Linked DNA regions of Lepisosteus oculatus. The protein of the gene in region 2 purifies or fractionates together with the protein of the main gene of each other region. This does not show direct contact. Links are inferred from orthologs where the notes say so. Each region holds a gene or a part of one and is shown on either strand. Other genes may lie near its edges.

Region 1 (7,643 bases), on a different chromosome or scaffold from region 2:
GTTAACGGCTCTCTGCCGGCGCAGACGCGGACGAAAGCAGCCCGCTGTGGACGCCGCTGGGACTCACCTGCTTGTTGTACTGCATGATGCCCAGCGTGGGGAACACCCAGGTGCTGGCCGGGGGGATGACCTCAGAGTCCGCAAAGCTGAGCCACTGCAGGATCTGGGCCGAGTCCTGCTTAGTGGTGCCTCTGAGAGCATCCGAGCTCACTGACGCACAGAGAGAGAGACAGTCAATCACACAGAGACACACGGGCTCACTGAGACACACAGAGAGAGAGAGAGACAGTCAATCACACAGAGAGAGAGACAGTCAATCACACTGAGACACACGGGCTCACTGAGACACAGAGAGAGAGAGCGAGACAGTCAATCACACTGAGACACACGGGCTCACTGAGACACAGAGAGAGAGCGAGACAGTCAATCACATAGAGACACTGGCTCACTGAGACACAGAGAGAGCTAGACAGTCAATCACACTGAGACACACTGTCTCTCTCTGTGTGTGTGTGTGTGCCAGTAAGCCAGTCGATCACACACACTCAGTCTCTCAATTCAATTCAAGGTGCTTTATTGACACGACCAATGAATAAATTAGTGTTGCCAAAGCAAAACAAATACAATTAACACAAAATACAGACCCCTCTAAATACAGTTACATTTAAACATCTGGAGCTCACTGTTCCTCAGGCTGGGACAGGAGGTCACACACTGTATTATTACAGACAGAGGGCAGGAGAGTGAGAGAGAGAGAGAGAGCCCCCACACAGACAGTGTGTGTGTGAGACCCCCAGACAGGAGAGAGAGAGAGAGGAGAGAGTGAGCAGTGCCAGTCAGGACTTACAGTAGTAGGCGATGGCGTTGCTCTCGAACAGACAGAAGCCATCGTCTCCTTGGAAAGCAGGGACCTGGGCGAGAAACAGGGGGAGTGAGAGAGGGAGGGGAGGGGGGGGGCGCTCCTCGCTGGCCTGCGCCCACGGCGCCTCACCTTGCCCAGGGGGAAGTTCTTGAGGAAGGCCGGGCTCTTGTTGGTCTGTCCGAAGGTGAAGTCCGGGGGGGTGCAGGCCAGGCGCAGCTTGGCGCCGCTGTACTGGGCTGCGATCTGAGCCTTGAAGGCTCTCCAGTTCTCGGGGTACGTGTACAGAGTCTGGGGAGACAGAGGGCAGAGGGTGAGCAGAACCAGGGGCGTCCGGACACCTGCGCCAGCAGCTCTGGACAGCCCAAGGGCATGTGGGGGCACACTGTCACCCCTCAAACAGTCCACTTGACCACTCAGAGAGAGACCCGGGGCTCCCTCTGCGCCCCCCCCCACCACACACACAGCAGGGGCCCCTCTGTCCCCCACCACACACACACACAACAGGGGCCCCTCTGTCCCCCACCACACACACACACAACAGGGGCCCCTCTGTCCCCCACCACACACACACACAACAGGGGCCCCTCTGTCCCCCACCACACACACACACAACAGGGGCCCCTCTGTCCCCCACCACACACACACACAACAGGGGCCCCTCTGTCCCCCACCACACACACACAACAGGGGCCCCTCTGTCCCCCACCACACACACACACACACACGGCAGGGGCTCCCTCTGTCCCCCACCACACACACACACACACACGGCAGGGGCTCCCTCTGTCCCCCACCACACACACACACACACACGGCAGGGGCTCCCTCTGTCCCCCACCACACACACACACGGCAGGGGCTCCCTCTGTCCCCCACCACACACACACACACGGCAGGGGCTCCCTCTGTCCCCCACCACACACACACACACGGCAGGGGCTCCCTCTGTCCCCCACCACACACACACACACGGCAGGGGCTCCCTCTGTCCCCCACCACACACACACACACGGCAGGGGCTCCCTCTGTCCCCCACCACACACACACGGCAGGGGCTCCCTCTGTCCCCCTCACACACACACACACACACGGCAGGGGCTCCCTCTGTCCCCCACACACACACACACGGCAGGGGCTCCCTCTGTCCCCCACCACACACACACACGGCAGGGGCTCCCTCTGTCCCCCTCACACACACACACGGCAGGGGCTCCCTCTGTCCCCCTCACACACACACACACACGGCAGGGGCTCCCTCTGTCCCCCACACACACACACACACGGCAGGGGCTCCCTCTGTCCCCCACACACACACACACACGGCAGGGGCTCCCTCTGTCCCCCACCACACACACACACACGGCAGGGGCTCCCTCTGTCCCCCACCACACACACACACACGGCAGGGGCTCCCTCTGTCCCCCACACACACACACACACGGCAGGGGCTCCCTCTGTCCCCCACCACACACACACAGACAGCAGGGGCTCCCTCTGTCCCCCACCACACACACACAGACAGCAGGGGCTCCCTCTGTCCCCCACCACACACACACAGACAGCAGGGGCTCCCTCTGTCCCCCACCACACACACAGCCGGGGCCCCCCTCTGTCCTCTGCCCTGTGTCCTGTGTCCGGTACCGGCGAGCGGAGCGGCGGCACGCCCGGGCCCGCAGACCCGGCTCACTGACAGCCGGGCCTCCCCCCCCGAGCCGAGCCCCCGCCACACAGCTCCCGGACCCCCCCCTGACACCACAGAGCAGCGCCCTCTCGCAGGACTGCGACCCCACCCCGCGTCTCTCCGGCACCGGCGCCTGTAAGCAAGCGGCGAGAGAGTCCGTGACGGAGCCGCTTCCCAACAATAAAACCGAGCGAACCCCCTCCCCTCCTCCGCCATCCGGGAGAGAAATACAGCTCCCTGCGGAGACACAGCAGCCTGCGGCCCCCGCAGCGCCCAGCGGCCGGGCCGAGCGGCGAAGGATGAGGGGGATGGCGGCCGGATTGCCGGCGCCCACCAGTTTGAAAACCCGGCCCCGGCTGCTCCGTACTCACCCCGGCCGCCATCTTCGACAGGAGAGAAAGAAGGAAGGGCGGCGCGCTCGAGTGACGTATAGCGAGGCCGGCCGCGTGGCGCGCGAGGGGGGGCGGGGTTTCTGCGTGAGAGGGGCGGGGCTGTGACGGGGGGAGGGGTCGGCGAGAGGCGCCGTCTGCCCGCAGGACTGGTCTCCTCCGTCTCCGTAGTGCGGCAAACTCCCACCGGGCTTGAGTGCCCGCGTCCCCGGGGCGCGGCGGGTCTGCCTCCCGATTCTCACATCCCGGGTTCAGCCCCAGACCGGCACTCCATGCCTGCATGTGTTATCTGGGGGTGCACTCAATTCAATTCAATTCAAGGTGCTTTATTAGCATGACCGATGGGTACAATCAGTGTTGCCAAAGCAGATAACTTACTCACTGCACAGACACCCCTGGGGTCCAGACTCTCACTGGTCACACTGTACAGACACCCCTGGGGTACAGACTCTTACTGGACACGCTGTACAGACATCCCTGGGGTACAGACACTTACTAGATACTGTTCAGACACCCCTGGGGTACAGGCTCTTACTGGACACACTGTACAGACACCCCTGGGGTCCAGACTCTTACTGGACACTCGGTACAGACACCCCTGGGGTCCAGACACATATTGGACAGGCTGTTCAGACACCCCTGGGGTACAGGCTCTTACTGCACACTCTGTACAGACACCCCTGGGGTACAGACTCTTACTGGTCACACTGTACAGACACCCCTGGGGTACACACTCTTACTGGACACGCTGAACAGACACCCCTGGGGTACAGACTCTTAATGGTCACACTGTACAGACACCCCTGGGGTCCAGACTCTTACTAGATACTGTTCAGACACCCCTGGGGTACAGACTCTTACTGGTCACACTGTACAGACACCCCTGGGGTACACACTCTTACTGGACACGCTGAACAGACACCCCTGGGGTACAGACTCTTAATGGTCACACTGTACAGACACCCCTGGGGTCCAGACTCTTACTAGATACTGTTCAGACACCCCTGGGGTACAGACTCTTACTGGTCACACTGTACAAACACCCCTGGGGTACACACTCTTACTGGACACGCTGAACAGACACCCCTGGGGTACAGACTCTTAATGGTCACACTGTACAGACATCCCTGGGGTCCAGACTCTTACTAGATACTGTTCAGACACCCCTGGGGTACAGACTCTTACTGGTCACACTGTACAAACACCCCTGGGGTACACACTCTTACTGGACACGCTGAACAGACACCCCTGGGGTACAGACTCTTAATGGTCACACTGTACAGACATCCCTGGGGTACAGACACTTACTAGATACTGTTCAGACACCCTGGGGTACAGGCTCTTACTGGACACTCTGTACAGACACCCTTGGGGTCCAGACTCATATTGGACAGGCTGTTCAGACACCCCTGGGGTCCAGACTCATATTGGACAGGCTGTTCAGACACCCCTGGGGTCCAGACTCTTGTGAGACAGACTGTATTAGTATAGGTTATCAGGAGACAGATTACAGGATTTCAGCTTTGTTGTGCACATATACAAATACGAACCCCGGTAAAAGAAACGACAACAAGGTGAAGGCCTGGAAGTCAGGGCAGCAAAAGGCTTTTATTGATCTGGACAGGAGGGAGAGGCCACAGTGCGGAACAGCAGGCGGGGGGGGGGAGGGGTGACACTGCAGAACAGGCGCAGGGGGGTTACTGACGAGTCAGCACTCCAGCAAGAACCTGCTGAGTCACCTGCAGGGGCAGGGGCAGCCAGAGAACGCAGCTCTCTCGGCCCGCAGTCTGGGGAGAGCTGCACCCCCAGACTGGTTCGTGCTCCGGAACCGTGACACCCTGACCCCCCCCCCCCGCAGGGGCCGCAGAGTTGGGGCGCAGCTTCTCGTGGGGGTGCTGCGCTGTCGGGGTTCGTGTGGGGGAGGTGGGGGTTGATGCCAGACACTTATAAAAATAGATCTCTTCTCTTCTCCAGTTTCCTCTGCAGCAGGATCAGCTGACCAGGCCTGGAGAGAGACGGAGAGAGAGCGATCATTCCTTCATTCAAGCAACAGTGAGGTTCATCTTTAAAGGCCAAAACACTCCTGTTACACTGGGGGCTCCAGTCCAGTAGGACAGTCTGTTACACTGGGGGCTCCAGTCCAGTAGGACAGTCTGTTACACTGGGGCTCCAGTCCAGTAGGACAGTCCTGGTACACTGGGGGCTCCAGTCCAATAGGACAGTCCTGGTACACTGGGGGCTCCAGTCCAATAGGACAGTCCTGGTACACTGGGGGCTCCAGTCCAATAGGACAGTCCTGGTACACTAGGGGCTCCAGTCCAATAGGACAGTCCTGGTACACTGGGGGCTCCAGTCCAGTAGGACAGTCCTGGTACACTGGGGGCTCCAGTCCAGTAGGACAGTCTGTTACACTGGGGCTCCAGTCCAGTAGGACAGTCTGTTACACTGGGGGCTCCAGTCCAGTAGGACAGTCTGTTACACTGGGGGCTCCAGTCCAGTAGGACAGTCCTGGTACACTGGGGGCTCCAGTCCCGGTCCAGTAGGACAGTCCTGTTACACTGGGGGCTCCGGTCCAGTAGGACAGTCCTGTTACACTGGGGGCTCCAGTTCAGTAGGACAGTCTGGTACACTGGGGGCTGCAATCCCAGTCCAGTGACACTAGGGGGCGACAGTGACAGACAGCACACAATGCTGCAACACTAGTGGCTGGAATGACTGACTGAAGGACTCACCCAGATAATCATCCATCAGGGATCCAATTGCAAACTGAAAGAGAAAAACAACATGAGGGAGGGAGTTACCGGGAGCACGAGAGATGGGGGGGAGGGGTGAGAGAGAGAGAGAGACACTCACGATGTCGTTCTTGTCCACTCTCGTCCCCACAATCTTCAGCCGGATCTCGTCGTCCTGCTGGATCACGATGTCCTGCACGGGACAGACAGACAGACCGACCAGCGGCGGGGAGTCAGAAGCTCTGCAATAGCGGGCAGCGAGAGAGAGGGGGGGGCGGCGCCTCTCCTTGTTAAACCCAAGCCCAGACTCACCTCGTCCACCGTCTTGTAGCAGGGAGGGTTGGAGTTCGGGTCGAATTCCATCTCTGAAGGAATGGACTGTGAACACAAGAGCAACAGTTACCGTCCTGCAGCGCCGGAGGGAGAGCTGGGACAGACTTCCAAGTCGCAGCAGAGAGGGAAACAGGAAGCAGGGCCGAGCATCGGGACTAGAGAGGAAGAGGGGTCCGGTACTCACGTGACGAGAGATGAAACACGACATTGGTCCAATTTCTGTGAACAGCCCCACCTAGGAGATGGAGAGACGGGTTGTCAGGAGGCCGTCAGGAGGGTAGAAAAGAGGACAGAGAGAGAGAGACAGGCCATTAGGACGATTGAAGAGAGCAGAGAGAGAGAGACAGGCCATTAGGACGATTGAAGAGAGCAGAGAGAGAGAGACAGGCCATTAGGACGATTGAAGAAAGGGGAGAGAGACAGGCCATTAGGACGATTGAAGAGAGCAGAGAGAGAGAGACAGGTGATTAGGAAGGTAGGAAAGGAGAGATGGATGAGAAGGGGAGAGAGAGACAGGCCATCAGGAGGTCTCCATGCTCTGTCCTGACCTTGTTGACCTGAGTGACCACAGCATCCACCACCTCTCCCTTGAAGGGTCGGAACACGATGGCCTTGTACTTGACCGGGTACAGCACGAAGCCCCTGCCAGGCTGGATCACGCCGGCGCCGATGTTGTCGATGGTGGTCACAGCGATCACAAAGCCATACCTGCCACAGAGACAGAGAGAGGGGGCCGTCAGCACCTGCGCCGCAGGGAAGACCTGGAGCGGAGCGGAGCGGACTGCAGCGATCCCGCTCACTCACTTGCCCGTGCAGGTGCCCTCCACCTCCGTGAACAGCTTCTGCTTCACCGTGTTCAGCAGGTTGGGGCCGAAGTACCGGGGGTGGAGCAGGATCTCGTGTTCCAGGGAGATCTGGGAGGGAGGCAGGCGTTACAGAGCGGGAGACCAGGGCACCTGCCCACTTTTTAAAAATAATTGTTGCACGGCTCTTCCACAAGACGGTCAAACAAGGACGCGACATCACCTCAGCAGGTGCTGGAGGAGGCAGTGATTAATCCTCTAAACCTCTGGTGTGAGGTGCGCCAGCTGCACCATGTGACCAGCGCTTAGCAAGTTCCTTGTATTTACACCGCACTTTCCCCAGGAGTCTCCCCAGACAGGAGAGACCCAATTCACCGCCAGCTGGGAGACACATAGCGGATCAGGAGGATAGAGAAACTCATAAGCAGGTTCGGTGAAATGAAGCATTCCCATTTCTATTTCTAAAAATAAAACCTTTCACATTGAAACGTTTGTCGACAGGCAAGAATGGAGACGCGTTCACTTGCGCACACTTAAATATGTTTATTTCTGTCAGTCCTGCTATAAAATATTCCGGCAAAGACGAACTTTGCACTTTAAAAATGAAATATGAATATTCTTGCGTTTCTGAGCCCAGCGTTCTCCCCCAGTCAGAGCCGCCAGGCTACGTGACCGCGGAAATTAACGATTCAGCTACTTACGTGATAAAACATCGTGTCCCACTTCCACAAGGAGAACCCCTTTAAACCCAATTTAATTACACAAATACGAATATAAATAAAGCAACAACGCTACAACACGAATGAAGCGCCGACGCTCACTCCGCCTTTCCGTTTCCGTCTC
Region 2 (7,053 bases):
CTAAAAAAAACACTTCTGACTCAGTACCTTAAAGGCTTTTGGGAGGGAGCTATATGTAACAACTCCTCTTCTGATTATGCAGCATGGCCATAGTTTATCAGAAGAGGGGAGAGGTTTCATTCTTTGTCAATGAGACAGTTAAGGATACTACTGTACAGTATGTCCTTGCTGGTCAAAAACAGATTGCAGCAGTGAGGTGAAATTTTAATGGAGTTCTAACAAAAGTGTGGGAGGTTTGAAGGCAGCAAGACAAATAAAGCTCAACTGCTGCTTCCCACAACTTATCCTGATGTAATTTCTCAGATTCCCATATGCACCACACTCTTCCTCGCTTGTTTTGCATTCCTCCACCCAACTCCCACAGTTGCAGCTACCCCTTGGTTGCCTTTTTCTCCAACCATGGAGCTCGCAGCCTCCCTGTCCTATGGCCCTAAGCCATGCGGGCTAAGCCATCCTTTCACAAACTCAAGAAACGATTCTGCTGTAAACACAATTTTCACTTGCCTTAATTCCTTGTTAAATAGAAGACTACAGATTGGAAGTAGGGGAACCTGAGCCAGAATGCATTATGTCAAAGTGTGGTACACAATTGTGAGCCTTTACTCTTAAGAATTCACTGGACAAAATAAGGAAAGAAACTCCCTGAGATCCAGGCAATGTGTGAATGCTTTAATATGAGACAGACATCCATCACCTTCCCAGGCAATCTCATGTCTCTCATTTCAACTTTTTGATTGAGTACAGGTGGACACCAGTGAGGAGTTCATGTTCAATCTCACACACCATAAACTGAAGATAATCCCCCTACAGAACCCTGAAAAGATTGTGTTTCTAGTCTGTGAAAGATTTGTTCAACACATGACACATCCTGGTCACACAGCTGTTGGTGATTGTAAATTTCCACCATTTTATGAAACGGGGTTCCTAATATTTTGGCCGTTGAGTGTATTTCATCACACTAACTGATTAAGGCATTTTATGACACAATCACTGGTTCAGTTCCTTCCAGGAAATCTATTCAGCGTTCACAGAAAGGTATCTGGATAATAAGTATGTCACTGAAATGTTGACTCACCCCCGAGACTGAAGAAGTCATTTTTAAATGTAGAAAAGGTTGCTTTAGATTGGCAATAGGACATATTTGTCAGTGATTTAAAATCTGTTTAACACTTACAGGTTCTGTGGTAAAATCTATTAAATGCTTAGATTAACATCTGATGCAGTTTCACAGCTGGGGAAGTGTTAATTTGTCTCACTGTTTTTAATGTGTTTGTCAGATGTGCAGAAAGGTTAGTCTATATTTAGTCTAGCTTGCTTTCCAAGAGAAGAAATCCTTCCAAACTGGAGAGTTACCAAGTAACATAGAGCATGGAAGGTTTATTTTTCAGAATGAAAAGTCTGAAATGTCCCTGAACTTTCTCATTCCCAGAGGAAAGTGCATTGACTTCAGTTTTCTTTTCTTGACTGTTAAAACTTCCTGCCAGCTTCTTGGATATGTTTAGATTTCCCATGAGAAATATCTACTTGACAGTGATACAGATAATTGATTTTATATTGGATAATATGCCATAATATTGGATAACATGACTTTCTTTCAGTGCAATACAGGGGACAACAAAATATTCAAAAGAAAGACAACTTCCATGTGGAGCTCATTAAGCTTACCCCAGTGTCCATAGATCAAACATTCAGGTTCTGACTTTAACCAGTCGTAAACATCAATAGAGACTTAAACAAGTAGGAGTGAAATTGACTAAGATTTTATTTATTTGGAAGACATAGCACTGTAAAAGCCAGCAGCCATATCACCCTGATGCTCTCAACTGGCTACTTGCTGAAGCAAAGCAGAGTTGAGCCTGGTCAGTACCTGGATGGGAGACCTCCTGGGAAGCTATGGTTGATGCTGGAAGAGGTGTTTGTGGGGCCAGCAGGGGGCACCCACGCTGTGGTTTATGTGAGTCCTAATGCCCCAGTATAGTGGCGGGGACACTATACTGTAGTGGGTGCCATTTTTCGGATGAGATGTTAAACTGAGGTCCTGTCTCTCAGTGGTCATTAAAGATACCTGGGCATTCCTCAATAAGAGTAGGGAGTTATCCTGGTGTCCTGGCCAAATTTTCCCCCTCTTACCGTGGCCTCTAAATTGTCCCCATGGATGATTGGCTTGCACTGGCCCTGCCATGGACTGGCGCCCTGTCCAGGGTGTACCCTGCCTTGTGCTCATTGCTTGCTGGTTAGGCTCTGGCTTCCCGCAACACTATAAAGTGGTTTGGCAAATGACATGACATGACATAGTACTGTGATTGCTACTAATCATCTAGACTCAAAATTATCATGTAAATGCTAACAATTCTCATTTTAGACAAAGGTTAAACACACTTTGTCACTTTTTATGTTCTTATTTCATTGTTGTGCTTTGGTTGTATTGCTGCTTCTTATGTTCAAACACCACTACCACAAACCACACTTTGAAACCCAGATGGTAAACTGCTTCATCTTTCATCTTCAATCAAAAAAGCAATTTTAGGTGTGCCGTGTAAGTCTTGAAAGTTTCAAGTGGACTTTATTTTCCTGCATTTGTCATTTTAGTGGTTTGGTTTTTGGGAACATTGCAGGCAGGGCTGCATCCAGGGGTGTTATATCTTTTTATAATACTACCAATTGACAGACTAATGCTATCAACCTAGACATCAGCAGGAGTAATGACTTAGGAAAGACTGTAAAAACTATGGCTGCTAACACAATGGGGCATCCCATGATCATAATGTTCAGAGCTGTCAGTACTCCATGTCATGGTAGCATCATGACTCAAGCTTGTAACTAGGCTTCAAGAGTGCAGCTTGTGTATTGTTCATATGTAGTGATGTGTTCCCTGGATATTTGCAAAGGATGGTATTTTCTGACACCCACTTTATCCTCTCCAACTTAGTAATTGCAGAGCACATGTCTGCAAGGAAAAAAAAATGCAAAAGCCCTCTAATACTTGTTGTGTAGATAATCAAGCCTGTGGTCACCTCCCCAGATAAACTCTACATGTTGTCTGTCTTGAGCAACAGGCATGCTCTTTTAATGCCAGGTGTTTATTTTTAAATTCTGGCTTGTATCAGACGATATCAAGATACAGTGGCTTCGTTTAGAACTCAAAAGAAGGATCTAGTGCTCATGATAATTCTGTTCAAGTGCCTTGTTGAATGCTGATTTCATTCATATTAGTGAATTCAGTCAATATTAAATATGTTTATGTTGTCTTAGAAGTAAACTTTTCCTGAAGGTGGTCTTTACACAGTGATCTATATCTAACTTTAACTTATTAACTAAATTAACTTATTTCTTCTACGAAGTAAAATACTAATGCATAGTGATCTGTTCATTTAACACTTTGAATGCTTGTAGTGATTGAAAACATCATACTGTGTGTTTTTCTATATAACAAGAAATGCATACCGTACATAAAACAGTTGGAGAAATCTGTGCTAGAATTTGTTGAATGTGTTTAAAAAAATCATAGTACAGACCTGTCTTTCAGTGCACATACAAAAATGAGAAAGAATCAAATCACTGAATGTATGTTCTATATAAAAATACAATAAAACTAAGCTGACCAATGGCAACATCTTTTTAAATCTTAGCTAAAGTTAAACTTATTTAACCTGCTTAGCAACAAAGAAATCATAAAAGATGAATTGATAAACAACATACACTTCAGAGGGGAGTGCTAGACAGAGTCAATGTTTTGTTTCAGTAGAATATTGATTAATTATTTGTGTTTTTATTTTGGTGCTCTATGTTTTGGCTCTACACCCCCTTTAAGCAACTCAGTTCCTCCCGTTAATAGAGGTTACACGTACAGTATAATCACTCTGTGCGTTTATACCCTTGGCTAGCTGTGGGCAAACTTGCTGGTTTGGATGTGTCTTGTATGTTGGGAGCAGAAATGAGCTTCTTTGCTGAATCACTGGGTCTCCCTCTTGCTCTGCTGCAGTTGCTTCACTGCAGTCTTTGCTTTTCTTACTCTGCTACCGCATTGCCGTATTACAGGGGGTGCCCGCATTGCGCAGGGGAGACAAATGCTTCAACCCCCTCCCAGGGACATAAAACTGCCTGGGCTGGAGCTAATAGTCCCTGCTGTCTGAGATCGCAGCCACAGGTAAGAGGCAATATGAATCTGCTATACTATAACCTCTTCTGCTGCAATAGGGGGAATTTCTTACTGTTTTTTTGTTGGTATGTTTTCATGAAGCACCGGGGTTCAGAGTGTAAAACCGAGAGGTCCGTCTTCACCTGCTGGGAGGTATCAATGTTTGCTAGGAGACATGTAGAACATGATGCTAAAAGTAATTTGTTACCTTCAAGAAGAAAACTAGAGACACATTCTCAACAAGCAAAATTGAATATTCTACTGACTCATAAACTGCAACTCTCTTGCAGTGGTTTTCTGGTAAGGATGGGATGATATCAATTCGAAGTAATGGAGGAATCAAACTTTGCAGCTTGCAAAGCCAGCTATGTTTTATCGGGATAAATAAAAAGACAAACAAAGATGTTTGTTTGCTGGGGAATCCACTGCTAAGGACATTCGAGGCCTTTGCTTTATTTTCATGAGGACCAATGAGCATGAGCATAGCATTGCGCTATAGAATACAGGATTTTAGATTCAAGACCACAATGACATAATTATTTTGATAACTCTGTTTTAAACATGCAGCAAATACCTTCTGCTCTAAATGTTACTAAATGTTTGCCATCTCAATATTACCACACCTGGGCTCAAGGGAACTAATACATTCTAGAACTAATAAATTAGTTTTACTTGATTTGGTTGAAATGTTAAAATTATTCCAAATATCTAGAGGATCAAGCACATTGCCTGGCTCAAGGATTGACAATCAATAATCTCATAACAGACGAGGTTATAAATTAATACATTTCTTATGACCTGGTTAGAGTATGATTATTTCAATCCTGTTTGCAAAACTATGTGACAAAACAACATAATACATGTTATCTTAAGATTAAACGTCTTTTTCCATATACTGATGCTTTTCTAAAAAGATTTTTAGCCTCATTGTCTTTTCTTCTTGCTAAAATGGTGAAATTAATGATTAACTATAATTGAGAAGTTATTTAACGTTAATATGCTTATTTTAATGAATGCTGAGATTTGTTTGCCTACAAGCCAGCCTGTCTGTCTGGTTAAGTACAGTTTGACTTGAGTGGATTATTCTCTTTGATCTGATCTTGACAATCAGGGCAGCAGTAGTACATTGCCTAGTGTTGCTGGTATATAATGAAAACATTCAAATGAATGTGATTTGATATTGTTAAAAAGTGCATATTAAACAGCTAATGTGAAATGATTGCTGAATTAAATTTAGCATGTCTGATTTCTTTGTTGGGTGGGTGAAACATGTATATCCTGCATTAGCAAGGTTTAAACTCGAATGTTTGTGGTTCTTGTATGAAAAATGAACATTTCGAACTATTTTCCCATTTCTCATTGAAATAAATATAAAAAAAGTTATTAAATGCATTCAGTATATAAAATGTTTACAATTTTCAACTGTAAATGGGGCTGCAGGTCTCAGAAACATCCCAAATTCAGACCCTTCTGTCCTGACATTGTAAAATTATTGATGATTAATAATGACAAGTGATCATGAAATAATGAAAAACATCATGAAGTTATTGTTCATTTAGATTAGTGCATTTAAGCTTGGTCAGTGGGATACTATAGTACTGGGATAGCAGTGGATCCTGTCGTCCTATGGTATGAAAACAATTTTTTTCCAAATAAACTCCAGAATACATTTCTAATACACAATATTATTAATATATTTAGATATTATTATGGAGGAGTAATGAAGTTTGTTTAAAAAACATTGCAAATCGCAGTAAGTTTGTTATATCAGATGTTAGATAACGATTATTGCATTAACTGGTACTGTTTCTAAGTAGAAAAAGAATTATGTGAATTTCATTTTATTTTAATATCTTTGGAAAGAAAATATCTTAACATATTCAATTACAGAAACAGTTGTTTTAATTCTTTGTGACATTGGCAGCTTGGTCAAGAATTTAGTCCTGTTCATGTCTTAATGTCTGTCTGATTCATACTCATATACAGTACAGTATGTTGTCTCAGTATGAGTCTCTGTCTACAAGGTCATGGTACTTTCTAATGTGTAAAGACTTAAGAGGCAGCCATTTTAGGCATGTATTTACATATAATGTCAGATCTGCAATTCAGGGAAAATTAGGGCAAATACATCAATGAATAAATAACCTTCTGCTTCCCATTCTGAGAACTTTCTTATTACTGTAGATTAATGGGAAGTTTAAAATTAAAGTATTAAGAGGGACCCTATTCAGGATAGACTAGTTTTGATAGATTTCTTTGATGCTCTTCAGTGATTAGTAACCCTCTCTAACGTGGGATGTTTCATCTCCCCTCTGCTTCTCCCCTAGACCTGCCTTGTTCCCAAGCTTCCAACTAGCTCGTCGCTGTCCTTGGAGACCTGAGCTGTAGAATGGGGAAGGAGAAGGTCCACATCAACATTGTGGTCATTGGCCACGTGGATTCTGGAAAGTCCACCACCACTGGGCACCTCATCTACAAATGTGGAGGGATCGACAAAAGAACCATTGAGAAATTTGAGAAGGAAGCAGCAGAGGTAGGACAAATGCATGCCCAGCTCACGAAACCCGAGAAATGTCAAAACCTAAAAAGTTCACTGTTTTCAGCTTTTCGTTCCCTCTTAGTTTAGGTTACGCTGCTGCTGAGGATGGTAGGAAGTCTGTGGTGATTTGTCTGAATATCATCTCCTTTTTTTGTGATGTTATAAATGCTTTTCTCTGTCTCTGTTACATTGCATTAGGGCTGATCACATTTTAGAGATCTTTTAGATGGAACATGAGACTCAGCAGCCTGCAGGCTTGCACACAGCTCCCGTACCTTTGAATGAGACCCAGCCAAGAGATGTGGAAAGTTTCCATTATTAGCTTCCTTATTTAGTAAGCACACTCCATTTTCTGATGCAGTGTGGCCCTTAACTT
Region 3 (7,506 bases), on a different chromosome or scaffold from region 2:
GAAGGAGCCACCCAAAAGGTGATCCCGACCGCAATTCCTCGTGGAAATGTTCCGGTCTCCCGGGAAACCGCCAACCGCGAGCGGCCACTGGGCCCCACAGGGCATAACACCCATAAGAAGCTGTTCTCTGAAAACACGCAACGGGATGACAGGAAAACACAAACGCAGGGCAGGAAAGAACTACCTGCTCTCCACCTCACCTGGCTTTCTTGGTTTTCTCAGAGTTTGTGAGGATATTCCAACCTTTCATGACTGGCATTGCACAAGCTGCCACGGGCTGAAAAGGCAAGAAAGCGTTAGAAACGGTTTCATTTTACGACTCGTGCTGACACTGCCATGAAAGACATGTTACTAGATTTCTGCCACCTAGATTCCACTGAAACAAAGACGAAGAGTTTAAGTGATCATTTCTGAATGTGCATTAAATTAGTCAGCTCTTCAGTTTCCTTAAATTTACCAATTATCTTCCAGCTGACAACATTTCCCTTAACAGTTACTGGTGGTATTAATTGCCAGATACTATCACAATGCTTACCTGCGTAATTATGCCATTAATAACAAAGATGTAGAAAGCATTTCAAACACTTAAAATAAGAAATTTAGCACAAAACATTTCTGAATCACAGCCATCTAAACAGCCGTGGTGAAAACATTTTGGAGAATTTCAAATCAAAATGCGCAACCTTGCTATTTTGAAAAGAATGGTATTTGCAACACCTGATGCTCATACATCCAACATACTTGATCACAGCTGAATGAACACAGATGTTTTAATCCTTTTGATATGCAGCTACTTTTACAAAACCACATGAAAAGGTCTTTCAACAGACATTTAACCACCAAAACTCCATGTGATTTTCTCCATGTATCAAAATTCAAAATCCTTTGCACTTATCATTTGCTTTCGAAATCTTGTAATTTGGAAGACCCGTACCTTGGGTGCTTTCTCAATCTCCACCAGACACATTCTACAGTTTCCAGCAATTGAGAGTCGGTCGTGATAACAGAAGCGTGGAATCTGAACTCCGACTTTCTCACAGGCCTAGAAAAAAAAAAATCAGTTGGGTCCGAATTAAATGACAGGTAACTATTAATACTTCCTATCTGTTTTCCCCCAAAATGTACTTCACCATTTAAAGGATAAATAAAACTCATTACCCACATTTCCAAAAGTGGACTGACCTGTCCATACAAATATGGACCACAATACCCCTGCAGTTTCACAAAGTTTACACTGATTTTCAAGATGGTAACCATTTCGGAATACGAACTCACCTGAAGCACTGTAGTTCCTGGTTCAACCATGAGGGGCTTTCCATCCACAAAGATCTCAACAAGGTTACTGGCTGCTGTAGCTGTGGTGCGGACTGCAGACACAAACGAGAAACCCAGCGCAATGAACTCTTCCTCATTCGTTTTTGTAACCAGTCTCTCAGCAGTATGCAAATGCAAGGCTGGCTTGAGGATCACCATTTTCCAGCTGCCTCTTCCAATTCAGGTTTTACTAAGTTCCTCCTACTAAGATAAGATCATTTAATTGCCCATATACAATTTCTTGGGTTAGGAATTTGTCTTTTCACATTGCCCAGCTTGCTCTCCATGAGACACACAGACACAGAAGCTTGGGGTCAGAGCGCAGGGTCAGCCATTTATACGGCGTCCCTGGAGAAGCTGGGGTTAAGGGCCTTGCTCAGGGGCCCAACAGAGTAGGATTCCTCTGCCGGCCACGGGCACAGATCCTTAGCCACAGTGTCACTGCTCCACCCTTGTTATTTGTTACTCCCTTGTTACTTTTTGTTAAGTAACGAGAAGTACACATTTCCATCCATCCATTTTCTAACCACTTCATCCAATTCGGTTGAGGGGGAGCCAGAGCCAGGCGACCAAAAGACACTAAGCAGGATCCACCCAGGACGACACCCCAGTCCATCACAGGGCACACACAGACGCAGACGCACACCCTCACACCAGGGCCAGGTTTCCCAGAAGCCAATTAACCTGCCAATATGTTTTTGGACTGTGGGAGCAACCGGAGCACCTGCAGAAAACCCACTAGAACCATGAGAGAACATGCAAACTCCACACAGACAGTACCCTGGGTCCAGAATTGAACCCAGGGCCCCCACGCTGTGAGGCAATAATGCCAGCCACTGCACCACTGTGCCCCATTAAAAGAACAATCTCTTAACCCTATTGAAACCGGTGAAATGAGCAAAACAAACAAGATTATCTCCAGTCGAGGTAGTGATGAAGGCAGTGGTGTGCAAAACCAAGCTAACAAGAAGGATGGGATGGGCTGTGAATATTCCCCCAGCTGAGTGGGATTACAAGCTATGCCCTGTAAAAACTGTTCATGCCCCTCACAGAGGATCATGTTATTGGATGGGGGTTGTAAACATAATGGGAAACAAATGCAAAAGAATTTAAGGGTCTGGACTGAAAACAAGTTCCACTACTATCTTATTTTGCAAAGCGTTTCAAATAACACTTCTCAGCACTGTATTCAGCCCGCATCATGATTTTAAGATCTCACAAGACTTGTGGTACAGGAAAAGATTCAGCACTAATTTTTTTCCCCCCAATTATAATTTGTTTGTGAACGTGAGCTCATAACCAGCCTATGAGCTTGTTTCAACTAAGGCTACGGTTGATTTGCTTGAAGTGCTGGAAAGAGCTGACACGCGATCTCTTCCGATTCCACCACACACCGCCGATCTTTCTGGGGGAAGAGTTTGAGAAGCACAAGTACGGATCCTCAGCGGCGTAGTTTATTCTACCAATGCGGATTTGTACAGCAAAATCAAAGCAGCACTACAGCTGCCACACAGGGCTGGGATACCCAAAGACATCAATGCTCCTGCTGTATATACAGGTGCTCCTAAACACCACTCAGAGCAACAGCCCAGGCAGAACTGTCTTGCTAAAGCACCGCAAAGTGGCAACATCCACCAAGAGAGATGAACAGCCAGAAAGACCCCAGGCAACACTTGTCTAATGGACATTCCCTCTGTTTACATCTGTGTGCTCAGCTTTAGAGATCACTGATAGATATTTTTTGGGCTTACCATTGTTCTTCCCACTTATGCAAGCTGGGGAACGGGCAGCCCCTGAAAGTGCACGTCTCACCGCAGGTAAACGCAACATGTCGCTGGAAGAAAAACACACATCAGACATTGACACTAGAAGAATGGGTTTCATGAACACACAGACGACCCAGAAACGGCAAAAAGGTCACACGACTCTAAATCCCATGTCTTAACACAACACGGTCCGGCTCTATCTATTTAAGACACTTTAGAAAATGAAATCCCAAAGCTACCTAATGCATCCTCTCACTTTATGTGCAAAAGAACAGCATTAGGACTAAAACACAAAATGTTGGCGTGTACAATGATAAGAACCTCCGACATTCAAAGTGACACTTGGTAAACAGGAGGCAGACCAACAGCTCACAAAGAAATAAATTTCATCTCTCACAAGTTAATTAATTTTCAATTCTTCCATTACACCACAGAGCTCAGGTTGTTGCAGGGCACTGCAAGCTACATAACTGAAGAGTCAAGGGCACAGAAAGAGATAACAAACCCCTTCTTTTCACTCTAAAAAACAGCAAACTTCAACGTCTTTTAATTGTAGCTTGACGACAGTTTAAAAAGTAAGCATCTGCATGCCCACACACTAATCACTTCAACTTCAGAGGTCTGTTTTGGTCATCTTACCTTGTCGCTATTTGGCCTTCTAGACCAGAACAGCGGCGCTCTACCAGTATGGCGACTTCGGCAATCTCCGGAGAAAATAACGAAAATGATCAAATAACGTATACCGCAAAAGATTTATTTTTTTCCAAAGAGACTAATTTTATTTTATTCTATACCAAATACATCCATTTTGCCTAGCATATGTCATTATTATTTTTATTTTGATATTAAAGAACCTTTCACCTTTAACCTTCGTTTCGTCACTTCCTACATGAATGAACGTATTTACCTAGGTATTGCATTAATTTCTTTTTCATGTAAAGTCAGAAAACCCCCATCAAAATAGTATAAAGTGAGAAGATAAAGAAATATTGCTTTTTATTTTTTGGAATATTGATTAAAATGTAGAATTCTTCTCTGAGAACCGCCTGACGCGTTTAATTTCTCTTCGTTTCCACACGATAAGCTCTGTCAAATCATTGCTTCTAGTTTAAACTTTTACTGGGATTCTGCGAGAACTTTCACACATCAATTAAAGTCTCTCCGAAGTGCTTCGGACGTGCATTTCTTAAGGCTGTGTGTTTGAGACACGACGGATGGATCTTTCTCGTCATGCAAATTCAAAGTTGGATAATTTGTCATTTTCCCCTAACACATTGAAAACTTCGAATAAGATTCGTTCATTATATTATATAATAGGTAGTTCTTAATAAATTAGTTGTCCGAGGAGGTGAGGGTGGAGCCAGTGTTGTCGTCAGAGGTATAAATGTCATCGTAAGAAGAAACTCGTTCCTTCTCTCTTCCTGCTGGACCGCTGGTGTGAAGAAATCGTACCCCCGGGTCTTTGAAACGAGGTCTGCACAACAAATCTAATACAATGGGCTTTGGAGATCTTAAAACCCCGGCCGGCTTGAAGGTCCTCAACGACTTTTTGGCTGATAAAAGTTATATCGAGGGGTCTGTACACGGTATACGTTTTTTTTTTAATTTGCACGTTGGGAAGTTTTTTTGAGCACGCCTCACGAGTCATGTTAGCCGTGACACGTTGGCGCCAGATTAAACGAAAGGGGATTTTATCGTTTAAAAACTACAAAACCGGATTAATAAAATCACCGATGTTAGTTTTTTCCTATTTAAAAACGGGTGTAGTTCGCGATTCTGTTACGTAAACGTTAAAATTGACACGTAACTCTTACCCGGCAAGGCCTGTGGCCTGCTCAGTGATTAAGGACTTGGGAGTGCGGTTGTGGAGAAAATGGGCTGATAATATGTAAAATACATCTTAAACGTTTAATATTAAAAAAACGAAACTAATGAAAGTAAAACGATTTTTGTACTCGATTCTCATATGTTAATCATATCCTGACATTGTAGGCCATAGGCATTTTTACCGGGCTTAACTGCATTGCATTATCAGTATATTCTTGTTAGGAGCCCATTGAAAGTGTCCCCGACATCTGTCTGCGCCGTGCAAACTCCTTTTAGCACAACTTCAGTAAAAAAAATAACAGGACGGGATGTATTTGGATTCATTTGAAATGGCACAATTTTTTTTTTACCCTTTCGTTGCTCGGGTCGATTAGTTTTGCGGGGGTGCTAAAAAAGAAAACGGACGCATCACTCATTCACCCAGCTGAAATGAATTTATTCTCCTCAAATGTGAAATTCGCCTCATGCGTACTATTTTGGAAGATGTGTCGCAAGATTGAAGAGTTGTGAAAGACTGAATCTCGGAGAATGTTTTGACTCCTACGTCTATCGATTAATATAGTTGATAACCGTGTCCAACAGTGATGTTAAGTGCCCCTTTCAGGAAGAATCCGTTGTCTGTACCGTACGTGTAATGTGGGCTTTTATTTTCTGAACAGATACGTTCCGTCTCAGGCAGATGTCGCTGTGTTCGAGGCCCTTTCCAGCCCGCCTTCCGCAGACCTGTTCCATGCCCTGCGCTGGTACAATCACATCAGGTCCTACGAGAAGGAGAAAGCAAGGTACTGGCTGGCAAAGCAAGAGAGGAAATTTAAAAGCCTTCTTTGTGTTGTAAAATGAAGCCCGTGTTAACTGGTGGAGTGATGATCGTTTTCACCATCTTTCGCCTGAGCCTGTGATGCACAGCTTATCAGCTCTGACCCCAACCAGTTCATTTCGGTTGCAGGAGGTGGTGTACGCTATTGTCTCCCATCTCATACTCCCGTCCCTTATCTCCACAGCCTTCCTGGAGTGAAGAAGCCTCTGGGGAAGTATGGCCCAGCTGGAGTGGAAGACGTCACCAGTACCGAGTCGAAGGAGGAGGACGACGACGATATCGACCTGTTTGGGTCTGATGAGGAAGAGGTGAGTGCGTGTGGATTCTGCACAAAGCCAGCTGAGAGAGTCACTTTTGCAACGGGGGGGAAGAATCATTTTGTAGATTTGTTACAGATTATACGTGGATGTGGAAAGTGAGGTGTCCAGGGGTTGGACAATCCCCAATTCATCTTTTAACAATGAGTTATCGGTCTTGTGCAGCCAGGCACTGCTGTTGATTGTAATGTGTAGCACTGAGCTGCCTTGCAACACGTCCGAGTTCCACGTGGAGCCCTTGTAACCGATTCACGCAATCTTGTTTCGCAGCTGCATATCGTTCGATATAGAGATGCCACAATGGCACCGGTTCATAGATAATCATATTACAAGCAAATTTCAAGCCGCGCGTGAACTGAAGTGTTAACTGAAGGCGGCGGCTCTCCTAGAATGGTTTCTGCCAGCTCCTCGTCCAGATCGTGTTTTTCCCTTTGTGGCTGGCCAGAGTGATTTTTCTTCACCATCTTTCGGCTGAAGACGTGATGGACATTCTGATGTCTGACGGCCGCCAGCAGTCTCCTGCTTGTCTGTGCGTGTATCTGATGCTTTGTTCCTGGTCTGTCCGATTTTCTTTTTTTTTTGGGAGGTAACTTTCTTGATTTCTCCCCCCCCTTAGGAGAGTGAAGAGGCCAAGAGGGTGAGGGAGGAGCGTCTTGCGGCCTACGAAGCAAAGAAAGCCAAAAGTAAGCTTACCGCCTATATTCTGTCCCCGTGGCAGGGAGCAGGCTATATCTAGCAACCCTCTAATATCCCTCCCTGACCTGTATTGCACCAAACACACCTTTTGATTGCGTTTCCGGGCTTGATTCCGGTGTGCTTTCAAACAGCTGGAAAGGCTTGGGAGTTCTTGAGTACCTGTAGATTACGAAAACTGGTCATGGTGGATCTGCTCATTTGTATTGCTCATGGATTTGCAGTGATGTCAGTAGTGAATTTATAGGTGATCTGGGTTTTATTTCAGATGCTGCCCGTTGGGGCACAAAAAAATGAAAGTGTTTTGTTTGTGGGGCTCGATTCTTTGGAGGGGATCGCAAATTATTTTGAAGGGGGGATTTTTCAGAGCGGTGATTTGTTCGCTGGAACAGTGATGATCTAACTCACCATCTTTCGACTGAATCCCTGATGGACTGTTATTGATCTGATGGTTGCCAGCGTTCATATTTACAGTAGAGTTGATGCAGCGGTGCAATGTGCTTTAGTGTGCCGGGTGACCCTCGTCTTTTTTTTTTTTTCCTCCAGAGCCAGCGCTCATCGCCAAGTCCTCCATCCTGCTGGACGTGAAGCCGTGGGATGACGAGACAGACATGGCCAAACTGGAGGAGTGTGTCAGAAGCATCCAGATGGACGGTCTTGTCTGGGGATCCTGTAAGTGTGCTTGAATCAGTAATTTTCCCCAGCAGGGGCCGCTAGTGAATAAATCCCAAGTCTTTCCCATGTGCTGTATAGATATTCTGTATAATGTAGC

What was found. The genes of interacting proteins can lie anywhere in the genome.
Region 1: the proteins of eef1a2 (region 2) and eef1g purify together in Homo sapiens (affinity purification with mass spectrometry; 4 studies listed by BioGRID and IntAct, counting the BioPlex papers as one, with this or other methods). This does not show direct contact. The link is inferred for Lepisosteus oculatus from reciprocal best matches to the Homo sapiens genes EEF1A2 and EEF1G.
Region 3: the proteins of eef1a2 (region 2) and eef1b2 purify together in Homo sapiens (co-immunoprecipitation; 4 studies listed by BioGRID and IntAct, counting the BioPlex papers as one, with this or other methods). This does not show direct contact. The link is inferred for Lepisosteus oculatus from reciprocal best matches to the Homo sapiens genes EEF1A2 and EEF1B2.

The regions. Positions count from the first base shown.
Region 1 is NC_090713.1:22,718,691-22,726,333, reverse strand, and holds the start of eef1g (elongation factor 1-gamma), read right to left. Parts: upstream 3,021-7,643; 5' UTR 2,927-3,020; coding exon 2,915-2,926; intron 1,151-2,914; coding exon 992-1,150; intron 912-991; coding exon 848-911; intron 211-847; coding exon 68-210; intron 1-67. Other genes in the region: polr2g (DNA-directed RNA polymerase II subunit RPB7), read right to left, coding at 4,924-4,937, 5,665-5,698, 5,786-5,857, 5,977-6,042, 6,182-6,232, 6,546-6,705, 6,802-6,911, 7,502-7,513. UniProt on the Homo sapiens protein: Probably plays a role in anchoring the complex to other cellular components.
Region 2 is NC_090711.1:7,367,280-7,374,332, forward strand, and holds the start of eef1a2 (elongation factor 1-alpha 2), read left to right. Parts: upstream 1-4,040; 5' UTR 4,041-4,147; intron 4,148-6,465; 5' UTR 6,466-6,527; coding exon 6,528-6,671; intron 6,672-7,053. UniProt on the Homo sapiens protein: Translation elongation factor that catalyzes the GTP-dependent binding of aminoacyl-tRNA (aa-tRNA) to the A-site of ribosomes during the elongation phase of protein synthesis.
Region 3 is NC_090707.1:32,795,242-32,802,747, forward strand, and holds the start of eef1b2 (elongation factor 1-beta), read left to right. Parts: upstream 1-4,486; 5' UTR 4,487-4,575; coding exon 4,576-4,655; intron 4,656-5,566; coding exon 5,567-5,689; intron 5,690-5,908; coding exon 5,909-6,032; intron 6,033-6,657; coding exon 6,658-6,724; intron 6,725-7,280; coding exon 7,281-7,406; intron 7,407-7,506. Other genes in the region: ndufs1 (NADH-ubiquinone oxidoreductase 75 kDa subunit, mitochondrial), read right to left, coding at 201-277, 935-1,042, 1,276-1,367, 3,066-3,144. UniProt on the Homo sapiens protein: Catalytic subunit of the guanine nucleotide exchange factor (GEF) (eEF1B subcomplex) of the eukaryotic elongation factor 1 complex (eEF1).